2 linked regions of the Bombyx mori genome follow. The protein of the gene in region 1 interacts with the protein of each later gene in a pairwise test. Links are inferred from orthologs where the notes say so. Each region holds a gene or a part of one and is shown in the gene's direction. Other genes may lie near its edges.

Region 1 (3,830 bases):
ATTCTGTAGTGCTTACAGTTCTTTCGTCCTTTTTTATTTCTCTATCTTATTCTAATAACTTTCAGCGCCTTTTTTAAAATTTACCCGGTTGCTACTGTAGCGCCATCCTTATTTAGCAGATTTTCACGGACACTTTTTATACACAGAGACGGTTCTCCTTATTCTACCCTCCATAAAAGGTAGGTACTCACTGTTCCATATTTCAAATAAGAACCGTTAATATTGTTTGTCCATCCGTTTTGAAACTACGTTGCCACAGACACAAGTAAAGCTCTCAAACTTATACAGTTCCACACTATTTTTCTATCTGTGGTTAAAAATAATGACATACTTATTTGTGTTTTAATTAGTTTTCTAAGCCGTTTTTTTAACTTATGCGAATACCCTATCGATAATATCCCGCCCCGTTTTAAAACACATTTACTAATGTCGATGGGCCCCCTGTTTTTGTTTGTCTATCCTTGAGCTTAGTTTTACGCAGCTACCGAAAACTAAATTATGTCACTGTACAAACCTATTCTATAGTGGTGGTAGGAATGTTAGTCCACGCGGGTCAGTACCACTGTCCTGTCTATTTCAGCAATCATGGGTCGCGGCTTGAAGGTCAAATTCTCTTGGGCGTCAAACAATTGAGACCTGTGTGGTCGAACGTATTTTATGGTTGTGGTGGCTCATGTACCGTAGGTTGGGGGGAATTGGGACCCTTTCCAATTCCAACGAAAAATTTCAATGGTTTTTCTTAGGGTAAAATCAATAAAATTGAGATTAAAATGGCTCCGGGGCTTTAATTTTTTATATACGATGCATTATTATACATAGTTTTACATAGTTCATTACAAAATATACACAAAAACTTAAAAAACTAGTTTGACCCGATACATCTTGGCTTTGGGGTGAATCAGGTTACTTATGGGGACAATAGAGTTTTCCGATAGGGGTGGCACTATTTAGTTCTAAGGTAGGTACCTAACTTTAGGTAATTAAGTTTTTAATATATTTAATGAGCTACAAAACTTTGATGACTAAATTAAACAGTTTAATATTCTTTCTAACACTAAATAAAAGTCATTTTCAGTTCAACAAATTTAAATCTAACAACTCAACAAAAGTATTGTGACATCCCAGATTTGTCCCTATTCTAACTCTAGTCCCTATTCCCCCAATCTACTGTAATTGATTAGCAACAGGGCATGAAATTTTCACGTCAATAATATTGCATAATTGTATTCAGAAACATATGAATATTATCTATTATCTATATATATAAAAATGAATTGATGTTCGTAAGTCTTGCTAAAACTCGAGAACGGCTGGACCGATTGGGCTAATTTTGGTCTTGAATCATTTGTGGAAATCCAGAGAAGGTTTAAAAGGTAGATAAATATGAAAATGCTCGGAATTAAATAAAAATAACAATTTTGTTTTTCCTTTGATGTGTCCCCCGTCGGACGGATTCATTTTGTTTGTTTTAAGTTTATTTTACACAAAAGTTTAGGTCTTTTACTTATCGATTGAGGCACTACGAAGTCTGCCGGGTCAGCTAGTGAGAAATAAAATTGATTCGCTGTTTTAGGTGTCCAAGAAAAATTTAATGGAAATAGTGAAGAAGTTGATGTCGCACATGGAACGTGCCGAGGGGACGTTATACCGGGACGAACTGCTGACCCGGATGATCGAGATCTGTTCTCAAAACAACTACCAGCACGTTGTGGATTTCGAGTGGTACATCACGGTACTGGCAGAGCTTACCGAAATGGAAACCAGTGCTAAACATGGCAAGGAATACTTACAGTTTTATTAGTGTATAATATATTGCTTAGATGGGTGGACAAGCTCACAGCCCATCTGGTGTTAAGTGATTACTGGAGCCCATAGACATCTACAACGTAAATGCGTCACCCACCTTTAGATATAAATTCTAAGGTCTCAAGTATAGTTACAACGGCTGCCTCACCCTTCAAACCGAAACGCATTACTGCTTCACGGCTGAAATAGGCAGGATGGTGGTACCTGCCAGTGCAGACTCACAAGAAGTCCTACCACCAGTAATTATAATTTAACTGGTTTGATTTTTATTACACGATGTTATTCCTTCACCGTGGAAATCAATCGTGAACATTTGTCGAGTACGTATTTCATTAGAAAAATTGGTATCCGCCTGCTGCATTCGAACACCGGTGCATCGCTCAACACGAATGCACCGGACGTCTTATCCTTTAGGCCGCGACGACTTAAACTCAATCAATTGATCAAATCAGAAATGAGGAGATTCGCAGGAAAACCATGGTAACCGACATAGCCCAAAGGATTGCGACATTGAAGTGGCAGTGGGCAGGACACATTGCTCGTAGAACGGATGGCCGTTGGGGCCAGAAAGTTCTTGAGTGGCGACCGCGTACCGGAAGACGTAGCGTGGGTAGGCCCACAAGATGGACCGACGATCTATTGAGGTTCGCGTGGATCCGCTGGATGCAGGCAGCGCAGGACCGGTCTTTGTGGCGAGGCTTGGGGGAGGCCTATGTCCAACAGTGGACGTCTGTGGGCTGATAAGAAGACTTAAACTTTTGTTCGTATCGACGCTTGAAAGACAAACGTGACTAAGCGACAATGCGTGAACTTTACAGTAGACTAATTTAAAGTTGAAATACCTGAAAAAAATTATATTTTAACGAATCTAGCTGTAGGATTGAAATGATTTTAATAGACCTAGAAATATTTTTTTTGCGCATCGAATATGGTTATTGCCTATCATTTATGTACAAATTATTGTCGCTTAGTCACGTTTGCCTTTCAAGCGTCGGTATATTTTGTGGTGTTCGTTAAACCTCGCAATGTATTGTGTAGGGTGTATAATAGCGGCGCAGCTGACGGAGGTGGGCGCGCGCGTGGCGGACGTGCGACCGTTCGCGGCGCGGGAGTGCGGCGCGCTGTGTGCGCGGGTGGCCGCCGCGCCGCCCGGCCCCGCCTCCCGCGAGGTGCTCTACGCCGCCGCCTACGTGCTGTCCGAGTACTGCGAGTTAGTTCGTTTTACTGTTTCACATAGATATACATACATACGACCTAAAGTTATTTAGTATAGTAATTTAGACGAAAACGATGCTATTGCATGATCGCCTGTTAATCAGAAATCGCGACTTCGAGATATTCGCGGTAGGCAGCGGCTTGGCTTTGCCCCTGGCATTGCTGAAGTCTTTGGGCGACGGTAACTACTCACCATCAGGTGGGCCGTATGCTCGTTTGCCTACCATGGCATTAAAAAAAAAATTCGGGTCAATGCTTATTACTTTTTCTATATGATTTGAAAAACTAATTAATTTTACGTAATATTTCAGTATCCAAGAATAAACCTATATCACGATTTATTCTTGGATACTGAAATATCTGTGTAGCTATGTAACTGTGGTACCCTTGATCCACACCCTAAGTTACCTAGTTTAAGCAACATTTCGCTTAATACGCGATATTTATCTGCAATTATTAAAGGCGCGTTTTATTTGTTATTCAACAATTCGATATTTTTAATTGGACTTCAATTAAATTTATGAAATACAAATGGCTGAAGATGGTTTTATGTAATGACATTTTTTTTTCAAAATTTGAAATTTTAAATAATTCTCCTGTAAAGTTGCAAAGTTTTTGCATAAAACCATCCTTTCCTTTTTTTGTCATTCACCCCTCGATATGTAATCAACAGGGAAGAGGAAGTGATGCTGAACGCCGTGTCCCCGCTGCTGGCGTGCGCGGGCGTGGGCGGCGGCTACATGCGGGCGCGCGCCGTGTGCGTGCACGCCGCGCTCAAGCTGTGCGCACGTTTGCTGCGGGCGCGGCGC
Region 2 (4,419 bases), on another chromosome or scaffold:
GTCCTGGCTCAAAATTCGGAGTGTATGAGTACGTAGGCAAATAATATTCAATTATCTCAAAGAAGCAAGTTGAGCACATGCGTGGCACGCTTGTCTGCACATGTCTCTTAAAACTGATCAATTTATGTACGGTGACAGTTTTAGCGAGCACGAAACGATTTTAGCTTCGGCCGACACGGAAATTTATTTTAGAACGATCGTGTGATATTTGTGCGATACTGAATTTTTCAATGCAGGGTTGTCAAACGTTCGATTTTCTCGTTTTTTTTTTTCTGTAACCCACAAGCATCAAGTAGGTATGTAAAAATATCGGTAACAATCCATATCCTTATGGTAAAAAGGAGGTGTTTGTTTGTTCTTGAAGATGAAAAACAAAAGTGATACTGGTGATTCATAATAACATGATTATTTTGATTTTTTTTCAGTTGTTTTTGGTATACGAATGTCACGAAAGAATGTTATAAATTAAAAAATCCGCCAATGTAGATAAGCTTAGCTTAATAAATTATTAATGTGTGTTTTATTGTTCGCGTTGTTGTAGTATATGTTGCTTCGAGGAAGATTTCATTCCATTATTTTTAATAAAGGAAACATTTTTCCTTCATAAGTAGATTTAGTATCGCGTCCCCTAATTCTATCAACATCTGGCAGCAGCATACTAAATGTTGGCCACAGTTATTGTCTTATTGGCATAGAATATACTACACTTAACCGACTTACTGTAAGCAAGTGATTTTATTAATACTAGAGGTCCCGCAGTAGTCGAAATTCGACTATAATTAATTGGAATTGTAAGTTTGTACACTATTATTATTGTATTTTATACTTCTATAGTCACAAATTTCGCCAAGACTACACTATAAAAAATATTAACAAAGACTAACAATATTTAATCTATTCTCAATCTGACAACAGAGGTCAAGAACAAAAGTTGGACAATAAATAGTATGCATGCGTGTGTGCGTCAAATACATGGTATGTAGTGTGTGTAATGTTTTCTTTATTGATTTAATGTATCTTTTATGCATTATTTTAAAAAAATATTAGCATTGTGCACTTCTTCTCTATATTCTCTATAAGTGTGGAAAATTTCATACTCCTCCGTCCGCGCAATTTTCGTAAAAAGGGATACAAAGTTTTTGCTTCACGTATTAATATATAGATATCGCGGACTCTTGTCATAGCAACAAGACCAAATTTTCAGTTTTTAAGATAATTCCTCTTATATTTTTAGACACAAACAAATACAAGTCTTGTATTACTGGGTTTTTTCTTTAAACAAAACCAATGAATATTTTGTTGAATTAAATTTGAAGAATAATGCATGCACAGATTAAACAAATCTGTTTTATAATGAACATTTTTGCGCACACGTCGGTCCATTTGGTAACAAAAGGTTACCAGAGTCTTGATATCGCATCGGTTAAACAAAATACAGAGAACACTGGCTAATGTGACTAGATCTGTTTTATTTCCGTCAAAAAACGAATGACATCCTTAACGCATTGCGTTTGGACATTCAAAATCTTTAAACCGTGGGCGGATCGAGAGGACGCCACATCGTATAGTTGCGGTTTGTACTCTTGTAATGCAGCAGTTAAACAATATTCTTCAAAAAAATTATTGAAACTGATAATAATAGTGAAAGCGTCAAATGGTGTGAACAGTGATAATAATTTGTAGTCATATTTATAATGCCTATATTATTCAGTGTGATAGCGTGTGATAAACGAGTCGTTTCGAAATTCGCAACCTGCGATGGTAACTTCGTGGAGATATCCGAACGAATGGTCTCAAAAATACCGGTACATGATCACAAGATGACGTACCTTCACGGAAAATATTTGATTCACTATGTTGTTCACAAGAAAAATATATTTCTTTGTATTACAGAAAAGGTAAGTTACGATTTCGTTTGAAAAGGACTTCTTACAAGTTAAAAAACATACATGAAAAAATAGAATATAAATATTGTTCTGAAAGTTCATTGATAATGTCGTCCAATACATTCGAATTGCTCAAAACACGTCATTACGGATCCTCCCGATCCATTAACGGTGCTTTTAGGTACCTCAAGCACCGGTCACCGTCCTCGCCGAACCCGTCGCTTGCGACGAAGGGCTCGACGAGTAAATTAACCCACAGACACAGCCCACTGAGTTTCTCGCCGGATCTTCTCAGTGGGTCGCGTTTCCGATCCGGTGGTAGATTCTGCGAAGCACTGCTCTTGCTAGGGCCAGTGTTAGCAACACTTCCGGTTGAGCCCCGTGAGCTCACTTACTGAATCTAGAATAGCCCCTCGAGGTTACTAGAATAGGTAGAAAAAAAAACGAATAGTATAAAACGAAAATATCTCATTTTTATTGTGGCCGGTGTTTAAAACTTGTTTTTTTTTTATTTCGTTCTCGTCAATAAATTTCTTAAAGATATTAGTTATTCGATCTGGTGCACTTATTGTTGTCCCATATATCTTCTGAACACATAGCACAGAGAAAATTTGGACGAACGATTGCCACTTATTAAATAGGTTGAATATTGAAACTAAACATATACGTCAGTTGAAAATTGAAGAAACTTTATTTACATATTTCTGTATGTGCAAGATTGTGTAAAGATTTTCTGTTAAATATGAGAGAAGCACACGTCGTTATTCGCATAAAGTTCCCTTATGTTAGCTTAAGTCAGAATTATGTAAATATTTTTTCTATAGTCTTCAAATCAAATGTATTTTCTTAACAGAGCTGTCAGAGATCAAGGGCATTTTTATTCTTAAATCAAATCCAGAGACGATTTGCTGAATACGTAAAAAATTTCGAACATATACTGGCAGAGGAAATGTACCGATACAATGAAGATTACAGTACTATAGTTATAAGAAATGGCGAACTGGATGAATTGAACAGGATCAGCGTTGAAAGGAGTGGTAAGTTTTTTTAAACATTTTTTATTAAACAGCTTTGTAAATATGTAGGATGGTTAAGAACGGAACCTATGGAAAGAGCGTGGAACGGAGTGTTAAGGTGTGAGTGAGAGAAATTTGTGAGAAATAGAGAGAAATAATAATAAAAAAAGCAAGACCGCGAGGACGATGAAGTGAGCGATGTGTAAAAAATGTGTCAATAAATTTTTAGTTATTTATTAAATAGTTTGGTAAATATGTAGGATGGTTGAGAACGGAACGTATGGAAAGAGCGTGGAACGGAGTGTTAAGGTGTGAGTGAGAGAAATTTGTAAGAAAGAGAGAAATAATAATAAAACAAAATGGCAACATGGCGAGGTCGATGAAAGCAGCAATATCTAAAAAATGTGTCTATATTTTTTTTATAATAACAATTAAATTCCAATTATACGTATGTATGTTTGTATGTCTTCTTTATAATGTGATTTGCATCGATTTTAAGACGTACCGACCACTAATCAGAAAGTTTGTACACGAATGAAGGACCGTTAGCTAAACAATAATTTTAATTGCTCTAATCGCTCTGAAATCCTGACCGGTATTCAAAAAAGGTACAAAATAAAGATAAAATTATTTGTTGGTACGGTTTGTAATTGAACGTACGGGTTCTTAAACTACATTTAATTTTAAATTAGTTTTTTTTTCTTTTCAGAAACAATTCTCGGCGAGAAAATGCTTTTAGTTGATAGCATCGATAGTTTATCGTACAGTGTAAGTTTACATAAGACATTAAGCCTACAAAATATAGTCATTAGCTATTTCTCTCATAAGCATGAATAACGTAAATGCCATTGTCTCGAGACATGATTTCTAACTCTGTTCTACAGTATAACAAGGACCACCCTTCAAACGGGGATCCTTACTGCTCCGCGGGAGAAATACGGGGTTGCCTTTAATTTTGATTTTATTTAGTTTCGCTCGTTATAAATGTCTCTGCCGGATGTATGAATGCGGCGGAAAAAAAGACTATCAGTTTCAACATTTTAAATGGAAAAAAATTCACAGAATACCTATTAAATAGTATGTATGAGTCGACTATTATCAAAGCCGGCAATGTGACTTTTGGACAATTATTGGTAAATCAGAAAAACGAATTATTGACTTTGTATTCCATTGGCAGTCACAAAACTCTTCTGCACGACATCTTAGATAAATAACAGGTTAAGTATTAACCTTTATTTAAGCAGGTTTTGAACCGTATTCTTTGAAGGAGACGATTATATTCAAATCAATCTGTATTGACATATCAATAACATTTTTTTGTCCAAATGCACAGATTGCCACCTTTGATAATAGATGACTCGTATAAACAAAATCTATTACCAAATCAAGTTTTTTATTTTTTTATTGCTTAGATGGGTGGACGAGCTCATAGCCCACCTGGTGTTAAGTGGTTACTAGAGCCTATAGACATCTACAACGTAAATGCGCCACCCACCTTGAGATTTAAGTTCTAAGGT

What was found.
Region 2: the proteins of AP-3 complex subunit delta (region 1) and vesicle-associated membrane protein 7-like interact in a two-hybrid assay, tested with the Homo sapiens proteins (2 studies listed by BioGRID and IntAct). The link is inferred for Bombyx mori from reciprocal best matches to the Homo sapiens genes AP3D1 and VAMP7.

The regions. Positions count from the first base shown.
Region 1 is NC_085121.1:9,311,880-9,315,709, forward strand, and holds part of AP-3 complex subunit delta, read left to right. Parts: intron 1-1,573; coding exon 1,574-1,775; intron 1,776-2,844; coding exon 2,845-3,016; intron 3,017-3,694; coding exon 3,695-3,830. UniProt on the Homo sapiens protein: Part of the AP-3 complex, an adaptor-related complex which is not clathrin-associated. The complex is associated with the Golgi region as well as more peripheral structures.
Region 2 is NC_085119.1:6,315,107-6,319,525, reverse strand, and holds the start of vesicle-associated membrane protein 7-like, read left to right. Parts: upstream 1-1,504; 5' UTR 1,505-1,694; coding exon 1,695-1,898; intron 1,899-2,739; coding exon 2,740-2,923; intron 2,924-3,611; coding exon 3,612-3,670; intron 3,671-4,419. UniProt on the Homo sapiens protein: Involved in the targeting and/or fusion of transport vesicles to their target membrane during transport of proteins from the early endosome to the lysosome. Required for heterotypic fusion of late endosomes with lysosomes and homotypic lysosomal fusion.